Elephas maximus indicus: one gene and its partner. The protein of the gene in region 1 interacts with the protein of each later gene in a biochemical or structural test. Links are inferred from orthologs where the notes say so. Each region holds a gene or a part of one and is shown on either strand. Other genes may lie near its edges.

The links. The genes of interacting proteins can lie anywhere in the genome.
Region 2: the proteins of CUL3 (region 1) and UBE2M form a complex in vitro, tested with the Homo sapiens proteins (2 studies listed by BioGRID, with this or other methods). The link is inferred for Elephas maximus indicus from reciprocal best matches to the Homo sapiens genes CUL3 and UBE2M.

Annotation. Positions count from the first base shown.
Region 1 is NC_064824.1:123,855,184-123,862,220, reverse strand, and holds the start of CUL3 (cullin-3), read left to right. Parts: upstream 1-3,935; 5' UTR 3,936-3,998; coding exon 3,999-4,064; intron 4,065-7,037. UniProt on the Homo sapiens protein: Core component of multiple cullin-RING-based BCR (BTB-CUL3-RBX1) E3 ubiquitin-protein ligase complexes which mediate the ubiquitination and subsequent proteasomal degradation of target proteins.
Region 2 is NC_064829.1:87,254,337-87,261,712, reverse strand, and holds UBE2M (NEDD8-conjugating enzyme Ubc12), read right to left. Parts: upstream 3,052-7,376; 5' UTR 2,979-3,051; coding exon 2,870-2,978; intron 1,880-2,869; coding exon 1,785-1,879; intron 1,653-1,784; coding exon 1,614-1,652; intron 1,501-1,613; coding exon 1,397-1,500; intron 1,101-1,396; coding exon 1,037-1,100; intron 945-1,036; coding exon 804-944; 3' UTR 390-803; downstream 1-389. Other genes in the region: MZF1 (myeloid zinc finger 1), read right to left, coding at 6,277-7,376.

The DNA of each region.
Region 1 (7,037 bases):
ATTATGTTATTAATGAGGCACTCCTATTTCTCTCCAAGAACATGTGATCTTGCAAAGGACATACGTATCTACTAACCTAAATATATACAAATCCACGTCTAAAAGCTTACTAAAAAAAGCCCCAAACCCATTGACGTCTAGCCGATTCTGACTCATAGTGACCCTATAGTACTACCCATAGGGTTTCCAAGGAGTGGTTGGTGGATTCAAACTGCTGACCTTTTGGTTAGCTGCCAAACTCTTAACCACTGTGCTACCAGGGCTCCCTAATAGCCTACAATACTTATTAATTGCCTAGTGGGGACAAGGAAAAAAGTAGGTTTATAGCCTGACTTCTAAGAAACTAATAATATCTATAAAACTTCCCTTTCAATTTGAAAAACATATATCTTTCCCTAACACAGTCTTTGTCTATTCAAAACCATTGAATGGGTCTTTCTAATTGAATTGGTAGGCTGTCAACTGTTTTAATAACGTATATCTGCACAATCAAATCAGGTGTGATACAGTGATTAAAGGAGCTTGGTATACCTCGAAGCTTATGTCTAAGTAATGGCTATTCCCTTTCATGGGTTATTCGCAGCCCCTACTACCCATTTACAGACTGGGATGTAGAAAAGGCTTGGTACGCAGAGCCTCCAGACCTCTCTGACTACACGTGCTCTCTAAGAATAATGGAAATGAGGCCACCGTTTTCCCTGTGTCAGGCAGTGGTCAGCGTAAGTAGGAATACCAACTGGCAGGCATACAAAATCTAAATGCTTTCCCTGCTGGATCAGGTGGCAGTTTGCAGTAAAACTAATATCCTGAACATTCATTTGCTATTTGCAAGTCAGGGAATACTTGAGAGGATGTTTCATACACGTGTTGAGGATGCTGCTTTCCTAGGAAGAAAAATCTCTGACTTTTGGACTAGAGTGTATAGAAAGTCGTTACCAAATTTTACTCGGGTCTGTGGTGTGGTTTCCAAATTTCGAGATGTAAATAAGGACTCTATATTCTATGATGACAGGCTCCGTGATGACTTATTCGCTTTAGTGCCTGCCATATAGTATCCATTCAATAAATACTTCTTGAATAAATAAATGAATAAATGAATAAGTAGTGGGTTTTCTTAATGGCAGTGGCAGTATTATCCTCTCATTTTGAAGAACTTCTCTGGCTCTAACCAAAAACACAGTTGACAGTGACTCTTTTAAATGCCGCTGAACTTTGCTTAAGCAAAACCAACATATGAAAATATGGATTCGCAAAACAAACAAATTAAAGGATGATTATATGCTTTCCAATTAAGTGGAAATATGCCTTAATGCAATAGATTCCTAAATGCTGGCCTGTAATGAACTTTTCTCAGGTTCATAGTGAACGAAAAAAAAAAAAAAATCAGGGTTATTTATTGTTTCTCTTTAATAAAGTGAGGGGGATCATCTTTGGCAGTTTTTCCTTTTTAATGCCCTTACTTGCCAAAATAAAGTTGCCAACCCTGTATCGGCTCCCCAGTTTTCTGAAAAGTATTTTATTGGTTGATGAAATCTTGGGAGATAAATTTTAAAATATGATTCATTTTGCAATAGCATACAAGTTTTTTTTTTTTAAACCTACATATTGAATAAAGATAAACCATTATCTGTGGGTATAAACTTGGCCTTGATGCCCATGATCATAGTAGTCAACAAGTGTCCAGAGGGTACTGTGTGGTGAGCATTGCTCTCAGGCCTTTCTAAAATGCCTCAACTCATTTAAATCTCTTATCAGCCCAACTAGGAGGTACTATTATATCCTCCTTTTACAAATGAGGAATTCTAGGCACAAACAAGTCAAGCTCTTGCCCCCAAAACCATGTAACTTAGCTAGTAAAGGGGCAAAGTAGGAATTCAAACCAAAGACTCCAGAACATATATTCTTTTATTACAAAGAAATTGAGCCATAACAGTACAACCAATAGAAAAGCATTGGTTGTTATTGTATTCTATTGACTATGGAAATGAGTTTCTATTAGCACACAGATTATAAACTCCTAATGAAGACTCCTATTATCATATGTTAATGCAGAGCCTTTCCCAATCTTCGCTTATTGTCCCAGTTCTTGATGACCTATTTTTAGCTTCAGTATTTACAGATATTGCCTCAAGCAACATTCTCATTTATGTTTTGATGAGTAAGATCAAAAAAACAAAAACAAGAAAATATATTTTCAGTGTGGCAGGTCAACCAAGTAAGGGCTGAAAGCACAACACTCATAAATTCAGTCACCAGGATTAAGTTAATTTAGGGCAATTTAACCTAATATTAAATAAAAAAGTATATTTGAATTCACCTAATAAATTTGGCCTAAAAAAAAATTAAAACCTCAGCTCCCAAATGTCGATACACGTGCCAACAATAGTTTCTCATTTAAAATGTGAAGATAAAAAAATTCAGTGGAAACTCACACATTCCCCTGAAGAGTCTGAAACCTAACTATAACACTTGGGCAAGCATTTAAAATCAGGAAACTCATAGTAAATGAAAAGCAAAACTTATGAGTCAAATTAAATGTTTTGAGTATAAAAACTTTGGAATTTAAGGCAGACTGAATTAAAACAATAATGGTTTTAAAAACCTACAATGATCCTAGTGATGGTAAAAATGATTTGGCACGTTCAAGATGGGTTTCTATCATTCCATCTTCCTTCTATTTAATGTCGTTTACCAAATATTGCACTACATTAAGGGAGTTGTCATTTTATTTCAATGGTAATCGGAAAACAGGTTTTAACACTAATAAACCCTGGGTCCCCAGAAAAATCTCAGTGGATCAAGAGGTCCTGGAGCTTTTGCAACTTAAGCAAACTCTGGATTAACATCTCCACTCTTTGACCTGAGATCTGGGGTGTGCACATATTGCCCAAAAACCTTGTTAAGCATACAGGGCCCTGATTTCCGACACTGCAGGTAACTCCTGCACAAACTCTTCTTTCAACTTTTAAGTCTCTATTCAAGACTCGACGGCAATGGGTTTGGACCCATCCCTAGTCCTCATGCCCTAGAAAGACACAAGAACCAGTTCTAGGACATAGCTATCCACTTTGCACCACACGCTGCTCCCAGATACTGGCCTCCTGCCGCCCCAGCCCAGCCCAGCCCAGCCCAGCCCAGCCAGCGAAACCCAGCCCAACCGCATCTAGCCCCACAGTCCTATTCTGGCTCGCCGAGTTTCCCCCGCCCACTTCGCTCACGTGACCAGGACTCCCCGCCCCCCCGACCACGCGCCCCTTTCCACGCTCCACCAATCAGCAACGTCCTGCTCAGAACCAGGGCTCCGACGCTCGAGTTTCGAGAAGGCAGCACAGTCTTCCCGCCCTCAGCCCCGCCCCTCTCCTCCTCCCCATCTCGCTGGCCCCGCCCACTTCCCCCAACTCTCCGTTTCCCTACTCCCGCCTCTCTGTCCCCGCCCACTCCCGGGCTTCGCCCCGCCCCACCAAAGGCCGCGCGCGCTAGCCTCCTTCTCGCGAGAACTGACGTCCCCGCCGCGGCCGCCCGCGTCCCTTTCCCGTCCTCCCACCCCCCTCCCCCCAATCTCTCCACTCTCCGGCTCTCCTCCCTCCCTCCTCCCCCCTCCACCCTCTGGGCCGGATCTCGTCTCGCTGAGGCGGAGGAGGAGAAGGAGGAGGAGGAGGACGTTCGGCCTGCGCAGTGAGATGTTTGTCCGTCGCCGCCGCCGCCGCCATCGCGGAGGAGCGCGATAAAGGGTGCTGAGCCGGGTGTGAGGGGGACCCCGCGGAGCCTCCGCGCTAGCGCAGCCCCGCAGCCGAGACCGAGCCGCCGAGCCCGAGCCGCCGCCGCCGCCCCCGCCGCTGCGGCCGCCCACGGGCCGGCCAGCTCCCCCAGCCCAGCCCGGGGGCCGCGCCGCCGCCGCCCCCAGCGTCGCCCCTCGCCCGCCCGCCCGCCCGCCTTAAATGTGACACCGGCGCCTCGGAGCGCGACCTGAAGCCACTGCCGGGGAGGGGACGAGCACCATGTCGAATCTGAGCAAAGGCACGGGCAGCCGGAAGGACACCAAGATGCGGATCCGGGCCTTTCCGGTGAGTCTCTAGTCGGCGCCCGGGACCCCGGGGGCCCGGCCGTGAGCCGCACGCGAGGCCCGGGCTGAACTCCCCCAACAGGCCGCAGGCCCGGCCTCCCCTCCCCCACGCCTCTGGCCGCGGGGCGCGAGCCTGCCGGCAACCGGGCGGCAAGGGGACCGGCGCGGCCGCCTCCCACCCCGCGCCCCGCAGCTGGGACTCCCGCGGGCCCGCGGGCGTTGGCTGCGGCCGGAGCCCCTCGCTGGTCCCCACACCTTTCCGCGTTGCTGGGGTGTAGGCCCTATCCCCTGCACTCGTCTTCCGACTCGGTACCCGGGACCCCGAGTCCTGCAGGGATGGGAACTGGCGAAGTCTTCCTTGTGTGTGGGGTGTGTGTAACTTTTCACGTGGGGTTTCGCTGCGGCTTAAAAAATCACCCAGCCCAAATGACGGCCAAGCATTTAGGGTGATGAAGGGGACTGTTTCTCTCTCTCTCTCTCCCGGCCTCCTTAGGCAGGGTTATGCCTTCAACCTGCCACCGACGCAGTGACAGTGGTTCCACGTAATACACAATGGTAATAGCCTAATAGAATGGGCTGTATTGATAGCATCTTTCATCCCATAAGCTTCCAAAGCACCTCACAAACTCTGCTGTAGGAATTGCCTCACCAAGGAGATGCAAGAGAAAACAAATTGGATGGCTCGCCCTTGGTTTCATAGCCTTGGAAGCCCAAGAGAATGAGTATAGTCACCACCCTGAGTTGCTTTACTCTCTTCGTTTTAGTAACAGCAAACCTGCTCGGTTCGAAACTTTTTCTTTTTTGGTGTTGAATCATACGTTTGTTTAGTGTTTAGAACATAACTTTTGATGTCATACCTGATTCATATAGTCAGTGGCAACCGATTAAAATGTATTGCTGTAATAGAGAGACTGGACATAGTTGCTCATGTCGCTACAGTAACAGACATATATCAGGATAGACAAACTAGCAATTGAGCTAGAATTGATTTAAAAACTAGAGAAGGATCTCGGTTTTCCTTAGAACCATAAACACCATGTGGGGAGAAAAGGGGGGGGTACTTGTACTATTATTTAAGTATGCTTTTTTTTTTAAAGTGTACTATTTGCAGCCAGGGAAGACTTATTAATTTTCCTCGTTGCATGAGGAATTTCACCCCACAAAACTTGAGAACCTCTCTGAATTCTTAATTAAAAAAAAAAAGAATACATTTGATGCAAAACGCTGAAATCGCAAGACCATAAATACTACTGTCAATGTGTAGAAAACACTAACGTCAGTGTGTGGAAACTTCTGTCTTTAGGTAAACAAAGGTCGGATAGAAAGACTAGAACTGCCCAATAGAGTTTCCAAGGCTGTAAAAGAGTAGAATATAATGAGGGGAGAATTTGATACTAATTAAAGAGGTTTTGTGATTAAAGAGGTTTTGAATTTTTGAAGTTTTTCCTTGGTACGAGAAACTACATCAGACACTCAGAGATGTTGACAAAGGAGCACTAATGAAGTTCGCTTGCATGTTTTCCCTTATAATGGGGGAAAAGAGCTGGATTTTTGAATGCGTGAGCAAAGTTTTCCTACTAGTTCAGTTCTGACCATTTTAAGCAGCGTTTAGAATATTTGTTTTATACAGCAGGTGTTCTGGGATATGTTTGCTATCTTACATTGCTCATTCTTGAAGACTGAACTCTTCTAATTCATATTTATTGCTAAAATATGGAATAGCTCACGTTTGATGTCAGCTCACTTCTTATGTTAATATTTTTCTGATTACCCAGTTGTCTGTTGTATCTTTATCTATGTGTATAATCAACTCTTTGATCTTTTTAGATTTGTGGGTTCTTACCTATTCCTCCCTCCATTCATTCAGCATATATTTACTGAGTACTGTGTCAGGCTCTGTTCTAGGGTCTTGGAATATAGCAGTATAGCTTTAAAGACCAAGATCCCTGCTTTCTGGAGCATGTATTGTTGAAGGGAAGGAGTGGGAGTGAATTTCATTATTCATTTAGCTGAAGAGTATAATATTATGTGATAGGTTAGCATTTTTTTTTTTTTTTAGCATATAGTACTGGACTGATTTTTTTTTTTTTGGTAGCATTATGGTTATGCACTGAAATAGATCCTTTAAGTCTGTACTTTGTTGCATTGTAAGTTTTTCTAAAATCCTTTAATTAAGTTTGATATTCAGTAAAAAGATTGCTAGTTTTTAAAAGTGCAAGAATTTTCATTACGCTTTAATAAGTATTGACACTATCATTCATAAATAGTTCCCACAGGAAAGAGCTATTCTTTTTTTAATGTAAATTTTTTAGTCATAGTTCCTTGCGCCTTCATTAAGGATAAATGGCTCAGTGGTACCCCATGTCACTGACTTACTCATCCTTTGGTATTTGAGCACTTGTAGATCTTTTTTCTTGTAGGTTAGCAACCTTGACTACGTAACTAGTCGGCATGGCTGTATGGTCAGAAGTAGTAGATGTATTACATTCCATAAAGAAAAAATACTGTGTATGTGTACATATGTATATGTACATAGTTACAATTATAGAATTTTACATGTTTGGATTATATAGTTTCTGTAAGTTAAGGGAGAAACCTTGGTGGCGTAGTGATTAAGCAGTATGGCTGCTGACCGAAACGTCAGCAGTTTGAATCCACCATGCGCTTCTTGGAAACTGTATGGGGCAGTTCTGCTCTGTCCTGTAGGGTCGCTATGAGCCAAAATTGACTTGATAGCAACAGGTTTTTTTTTTTTTTTTTGGTGTAAGCTAAAGGAAGTTGCGGTAATTTACCCAAAGGTCTCAAGTATTCACTTCAGATCATGTTTCACAAAATTGATGTGTAAACAGTATAAAAATAGGTTTTGGGAGCATTTTTTCATTGCAAAATAGAGTGGTGAGTGAACGTACAGGGTATTTTATATTTGTGTAAGCATGCTTCAGGTACAGTCCCACTAGTGAAATCAGGTTCATTT
Region 2 (7,376 bases), on another chromosome or scaffold:
AAGCCACCACAGGGGTCTAACACCCCTGACATCAGCCCAAGGGCCAAACTCAGTCCCCCAGTGTCTCAAGCACTAGTCGCATTAGGCAGGGTCCTCCCCACAAGCTCAACCAAGGTAGAAGGGGGCAGAACTGGGAGTGGCACATATCTACCACCATGGCCCCATGCCAGCTCTGCTGGCCAGCTGGTGATCACCAGCTCCTGTCCCTCATTCATCCCAAGATAGGCTTCATCCCAGCCACCCCAAGAATTTCAGGTCCTACTCTCCCCATGGCTGCCCCAGGCATTGCATGGCCTGCTCAGGGTTCCCCAACGCCATCTATAACCACCACACACTGGCCTGTTGAGCCAAGGCCCCACAACCAGGTATTGGTGGTGGACCCCACCTGCCCCTCCCGCCCCACAGAACGAAGAAGATACAGAGGCCATGCAGTAACATTCCCCTTTAATAGCCAGGTGGGACCTCCAGTGGCAGAGGGGTAGGATGCTGGGGCCCCAGCTACACAGACCCCCTTGTCTACCCATCCCAGTGCCCAGTGTGGGGGGCTGGACAGCACCCAGCGGGGGGCTAGACAAGCCAATTCATTTCCCATCGCTGAGCAGGTCGGGGGAGGCAGCGCTGACCTTAATCACATGGTGGTTAAAAAAAAATAACAAGGGGTAGGTGGCAGGGAGGGGAGGCAAGGCCAGGGTGGGCGACAACCCCCCACCGGCCGCCCCACATCCCCCACCTGTGGCCCCCAATAAATATTTGCAGGGGACGCCGGGGTGGTAGCCCTGGCGGGGGTGGGATGGGCGCCAATCCTATTTGAGGCAGCGCTCGAAATAGGTGGAGCCGATGTAGCCACCCCGCATAGAGCGCTGCACATTCTGCTCAAACAGCCGTCGGTTGTTCTGCAGGACCTCAGCAGCTTCCTTGTTCAGTGGGTCCTCGGGGTTGGGCTCCTGCAGCCAGCAAGGAATGGGTCAGCAGGCTGAAGGGGCAGAGGGGCCAGGTCAACCTCCCACAGCCCCAAGCCTTGCCCGCACCTACTCACCAAGAAGAGATACTGCAGACCATAAATTATGGAGTTTATCGTAAGGACTGGCTTCCAGTCCTCTCTGCGGACAGAGTATCAGGGTCAGGGGCTGCTAAGCAGGTGGCTGCTGTGGTCCCTGTTGGGACTCCACAGATGAGGCACAGGGCATGGGAGAGTGGGGATGTGAGGCTGGAGGGAATGTGCAGAGTACAGGCCAAGGAAAAAACCAGGCCACGAGGAAGAATATGTGGAGATGGAAGGGACAGTGGGACACAGACTGTTAAAGGAGAGAAGGAAAAGAGACAGACCTAGAGCCCATGAGGGAGGTCTAGAGGCAGGGCTGGGGTACAGGAGGGCAGCAGGGGGTCAGCACCTTACCTGAGGATGTTGAGGCAGACATTGCCCTCGAGGTCGATGTTGGGATGATAGACCATTGTCTCACACTTCACCTTGGGGGGGTCATGTGGGTAACCCTGACCCACCTCGGGGGAGAAGAGAGAAGAGGTGGGTAAGGTGCCTGTCAGGGCCTGGTTGGCGCCTCAGCCGCCTCCTCCTCAGCCCAGGGAGCTGCTGCCCCTGCCTGCCTGGGACTCACCTTAAAACTGAACACAAACTTCCCACTTTTGTAGAAGCCCTGTCAGTGGGAGAAAAGAAGAAACGTCAGGGCCCAGTTGTGTATGGGCCTGGCAGACAGGCTGGGTCCCCCTCCCTGTGGTGGGGCCACCTAGGGTCTGTCTAGGGGACCCAGGCAGATAGGGTCCCTCACCTCATCGGGACAGATGACCAGCTTGAAGTTGAGGAGATCGTCCGGGTCTGAAAAGTTGATATCACAGGTCTTGGGCAAGTTCAGCTCGTTTATGTCTGGGTTTGGGCAGCAGAAAAGGGGGACAGAGAGGAGGGCACTCAGGGCAGGTGCCAGCAGAGGCCCCATGGTCTCCTCGTGGACTCCTGGGCCTCATTCTGAGCCCTACACCCCCAACCCTTGTCCTGTCCTTGCTGGTGGGCCTTCCCTCATCCCAGAGATGGGATCTTCTGGATCCACAGCATACCCCAATTGTGCACCTTAAGATGCAGCTTTGAGTCCTGGCTCCTGACCCAGGCTGAACTCCCTGCTCTTATGTATGTTTTCAGTCTCCAATATTTGAGTCCACCAATTGAGATCCTAAGTGTACCCACCCCCATGCGGCCCACCCACCTGCTGCCCAAGTCCCCGGTCCCCAGCACCCTAGGTTGAAACAGCCTCTGACCACTCCAAACGTCGGGTTCCCCAGCCATGACTTCTCTCCAGTGGACACTGCCCATCCCCCCATGCCCAGCCAAACTCAGGAGACCTGATTCCCCACTCCAATTCCCTGAATTTTCCCTCACCACAGTCAGAGGCCTCCATCATCCCTCCCTCATCTATCTGTCACCCCAAAGACCCACAAATTCCTGGCACCCCTAACCCGACCCCACTCCATCTGACTCCGAGATTCTCACTGTTTCCAACATGATACTCTAAATCTCCCCCGCCATCCCTCTCTCACCCCGAACTCAGGTTCTCGCCTGAGTCCCAGACCTGTGAGTTCCCAGCCGCCTGTCTCCCCTCCCTCCCCTGCCCCTCAGATTCCCGAGTCCCTCATACCCTTCCTCACTTGGCCTTCCTCATATCATAAATCTATCCCCGGCCCCCATCTCTGACCGCCCCCACGACCGCATCACCCCACCTCTCACCCACCAGATCACCCTACCCCCCACCTCTGACCTCCGACCCCAGGTGTCTGCATTACCCAGCTCCTGATACCCCATCCCTAGAACCTGACCTCCGACCCCCCGGTCCCCACCCCCCATTGCCCGATCCCCACACCCTACCCTTCTGGATCCGCAGCTGCGCCGCCGACGCCTTCTTGCTGCTGCCCTTGGTGCCGCCGGCCGACTCCTCCTCCTTCTTCTGCTGCTTCAGCGAGAACAGCTTGATCATCCTGCCGCCGCCGCCTCCGTCGCCGCCGCCGCGGGGCCCGGGACCCCGGCCACCCGGCCCCCCGCCGCCGCCCGAGCCGCCTCCGCTTCTCAGACCCGCCGCTGCGGCCTCCTCCGCCGCTGCCGCCGTCTGCCCGGCTCGCCGCGCTGCTCCGCGCCCACCGAGCGGCCCGCCTCGGCTCCCGTAGTCCGGCTCTGGCCTGGTCCTGGTCCTCGGGAGCGCTCGGGTAGACTCGGCGGTTCTCGGGTCGACTCGGCTGTTCTCGGCGGCGCTCGGCTCCGCCCCCACCAGGCCGCTCCCTCCTCCCCCTCGCCGGCTCAAGTCTGTTCAGGCCCAGCTGCAGCTGCGGACGCTGTGCTTGCTTACTCGCTCCTTTCGCGAGGGGGCTGCGGTTCGGCGTGAAGGAGGAGGCGGCGGCCGCGGTGGCGGCGCACGTATCCTGGAGGAGGCTCCGCTTCGCAGGCAGCAGCAGGTCCAAAGCGGAGGCCGGCAACGGCCTCGGGCGCCCATCCACTTCGGGTATTTCCGCCGCCTCCCCGCTTCGGCTCTTTCCGCCCGGTCTGTGCTGCGCCTGCGCAGCCGCTGCTTCGGGCGAATGGCGTTGCTCAGTGGAGTTTGGAGTTCGGGCTCCTTCGGCTCGGCTCGGCTCGGGTATTTCCGTTCATGGGGTCCTAGACTAGGTCTCCGATCCCGCGAACGGTTCCGGAGATAATCTTGGGCCCGGATAGGAGGTGCCCCGGCCATGTTTGAATGGGGCAGATACTCGCCGCCTCTCTCGCTGTGCGGCCATCCCCACTTGTGCATGAGCGTGGAGCACCTTCGCTTGCACGCATGTAGAGAGCGGCTGGTGTAGGTGAGACGATGTCTCTATTCCCGGATGCCACATAAACAAGGTGATCGCGCCGACCAGAGCCTGGGTGAGGCTGGGGGCCCTGCCAAGAGGGTGTGGTGTTGGGCACCCTTAGTGTCCCATCGCAAACTCAAAAGACCCCTACTCATGGACGTTTTAGCTGAGGTCAACTAACAAATAAAACATATATTATGGCAGAGAGCGGTAAGCACTATGCAGATCGTCAGGGGTGGTCAGGAAAGACTCCGGGGTGGACTCGGACGAGGGAGTTGAGGGGGCTGGCGCGGGCTCGATCTCCAGCGCAGGCGCACTCCGGCCTTTGGCGACCCTTCCTTGCTGCCAGAGGCGGGGCGTTGTGTACGGGGGCGTCATGCTCCTCTCCAATCACAGCTCGGCGTCCGTCAGAGGGCGGAGGAAATGAAACCCACTAATCCACTGCGGTCGAGTGGATTCCGACTCAAAGCGACCCTATAGGACAGAGTAGAACTGCCCCGTAGAGTTTCCAAGGAGCGCCTGGTGGATTTGCACTGCGGATCTTTTGGTTAACAGCCATAGCACTTAACCACTAGGCCACCAGGGTTTCCGGGAGGAAATGGTGCCAGGAGATTCTGCTACATCCGGCCGTCACCACGGCAACCGCGGGCTCACCGAGAAAACCGTTTAGTGGGTTAGACGCGCCGCGAGGCTCTGCCGGTGCTGGGAGCCGGGCGGGGTGGGTGGCCGAGGCTGGACCGCTCAGCTCTTCAAGAGTCCGAAGGCAGCTTCGGGAGTGCGTCACCGTCGCGACGCGACGTCGCCGACGGGAGCATTGTGGGAGACCTAGCGCGGGCAATCCCGGGCGAGGGGGCGAGGGGGAATGGTGTGGTCGAATGGTGTGCTCACGGACCCCTCCCCTGCTGTCTATCCTCACCTCGGGAGCTGCCCCCACACTCCTTAACCCTGGCGTGGCATCCACACTGACTCCCTGTCCTCACCTCGGTGGAGTCGCCCCCACTTTCTCGGACTTTTGCTATTCCCGCCCCCACCTACTCGGAGGTGTAGGTGTGCCTGGGCACCTCTTGGCCACTTTGGGCCCTTGGTCTGATCCCACCTGCCTCTTCTGTCGCTCTCCCCTGAAGGCCTTTCTCCTCTGTTATCCATGCTGAGTCCCAAAGCTGTCCGGAGCCGCCTAAGTTGTCCCCCAAAGGTCTATTTCCCCACCCCCAGGGCTTCAGGGCACTTCCAGGCTGATGCCTCTCAACCGAGCCTTTAGTCCTCTGATTGTCCCAGGCTCAGTACGCAACCATCATTTCTAAGACTGAGTGCTGGGGTGAAGATGGGGCCTCAGAGGTCTCAAAGAGCTCAGATGTGAGGTCAACATGGCTGGAACTTCCCCAGTGTCCCCTGGCTTCAATACTGGACTGCCTGTTAAGTTCCCTCGTTTGTGCTCCAGATCTGCCCACCTTGGCGTCACAGCACAGGGCGGGGGCCCCACAAACACACCCCTCTTGGCCAGCAGCTCCTTGTTAGGGTCTGGGCACTACAGGGCATAGAAAAGGAGAAGGTACTTCATCCCCCGTTAGGCAGCCAGCAATACCTTTTCCCCCTGGCTGCAGCAGGTCCTTCCAGAGACATGAGTTGGTGCCAGGTTGTTTCCACACTTCCCAGAACTAGGTTCATCAGACTCCTTAGAGACACACCAGTGCCCCCTCCTCAAGGGTCTCATCCTAAGCCCATGGTGCCTCCTCCTCCTCAAGGACCTGAGTTTGAGCTCCATGAAGAACTCATCGAAGCTTCTAAGTTACAATACTTTCCTTTGTTCTTCCAGCCCTAGGAGTGCAGCTGCTCCCTGTAGTTCCTACCTCCACAACAGCTTAGTTTTTTTTTTTTTTTTTTAACCCTTTTCAGTTTCCCATCAATAAGCTAATACCTGGTATTCTTCATATGAAATTCCCTGTTAAAACACTTCTTGTAGCTTGTCTCCTGACTGGACCAAGACTGATGAAGGCCAGAAGTGGCGGACTCTCTGCAGGTGCTCACATGCTACATTTCCTCTTCTGTGGGTTTCGGAGACAGGGCTGGTGTCTAGGCAGAGCTGAAGCTGGACTGCTCTGCCACTTCCTGTCTACACCACTATTTCTGGGCTATTCACCCTTCCTAAGCTAGAACTGCAGGTGGGGCCCTGGTACCAGGGGTGTCTACGCAGGTTGGGGAAGGTGACAGTAGGAGCCATCTCCACCTTTTCAGGGGCTGTGGCCTTCAGAGGAACCATGTGGGTGGAGAGGACCCAATTTTCTTTTGGCTTTATTGAGCACCTACTGGGGCCGGGCACTGGGCTGGCCAGCTCATGCCTATACTTGTACCCATGCAACAGCTGGCCTCACAGCAATCCTGTGAGGTAGGTGTTCTGCCCCATGGACAGAGGAAGAACTGATGCGCAGAGAGGCAAGCCCTGCTTGCTGGGCTGGGTTACTCTGCACTGTGGACACGCTGGTGCTGGATGAACTTGGTACTCTGGTGGAAGCGGCGGCCACAGTCCTGGCAGGCAAAGGGCTTCTCACGACAGTGGGTACGCAAGTGCTGTGTGAGTGTGGGCCGCTGACGGAAGGCCTTGCCGCACTCCGGGCAGGCATAAGGTCGCTCGCCCGTGTGGATGCGCCGGTGCTGCGTTAGGTTGGCGTGCTGTCGGAAGCTCTGGCCACACTCAGGGCAGGCAAAGGGCCGCTCTCCCGTGTGGATTCGCTGGTGCTCGGTGAGCCGGGAGACCTGTGTGAAGCCCATGCCACACTCGCTGCAGTGGTAGGGCTTCTCCCCGGTGTGTGTACGCTGGTGGCGCGTGAGCTTGAGGCGCTGGCTGAAGCGCTGGCCGCACTCGGGGCAGACAAAGGGCTTCTCGCCCGTGTGAACGCGCAGGTGCTGTGTGAGCGTGGGTCGCTGGCGGAAAGCCTTGCCGCACTCCGCGCAGGTGAAGGGCCGCTCACCGGTGTGGATGCGCCTGTGCTGTGTGAGGTTGGAGCGCTGCCGGAAGCTCTGGCCGCACTCGGCGCAGGCGAAGGGCCGGTCGCTGCTATGCACCCGCCGGTGCTGCAGCAGCACCGAGCGGCGGCCGAAGCGCTCGCCGCACTCCACGCAGCCGAAGGACTTGTCGCCTGTGTGAACCGCCTGGTGCTCTAGCAACACGGCGCGCCGCGTGAAGCTCTCACGGCATTCGCTGCAGGGGAAGGGGCCTGGGGGCTCAGGCGCGCTGGGCGGTGCAGGGGGCGCGGCGCCGGGGCCTGGGGGGTCGCCGTGGATGCGCTGATGCTGCAGCAGGTTGGAGCGCTGCCGGAAGCTCTGGCCACACTCCGTGCAGCAGAAGGGCTGCTCGCCCGTGTGCACGCGCCGGTGCTCCTCCAGGCGTGCGCTGCGCACGAAGCCCCGACCGCAGTCGCTGCATACGAACGGCCGCTCCTCGGTGTGCGTGAGCTGGTGGCGCAGCAGGTGTGAGCTGCGGCTGAAGCTGCGGCCGCACTCACCGCACACGAACGGCCGCTCGCCTGTGTGGATCTTCTGGTGCCGCAGCAAATTGC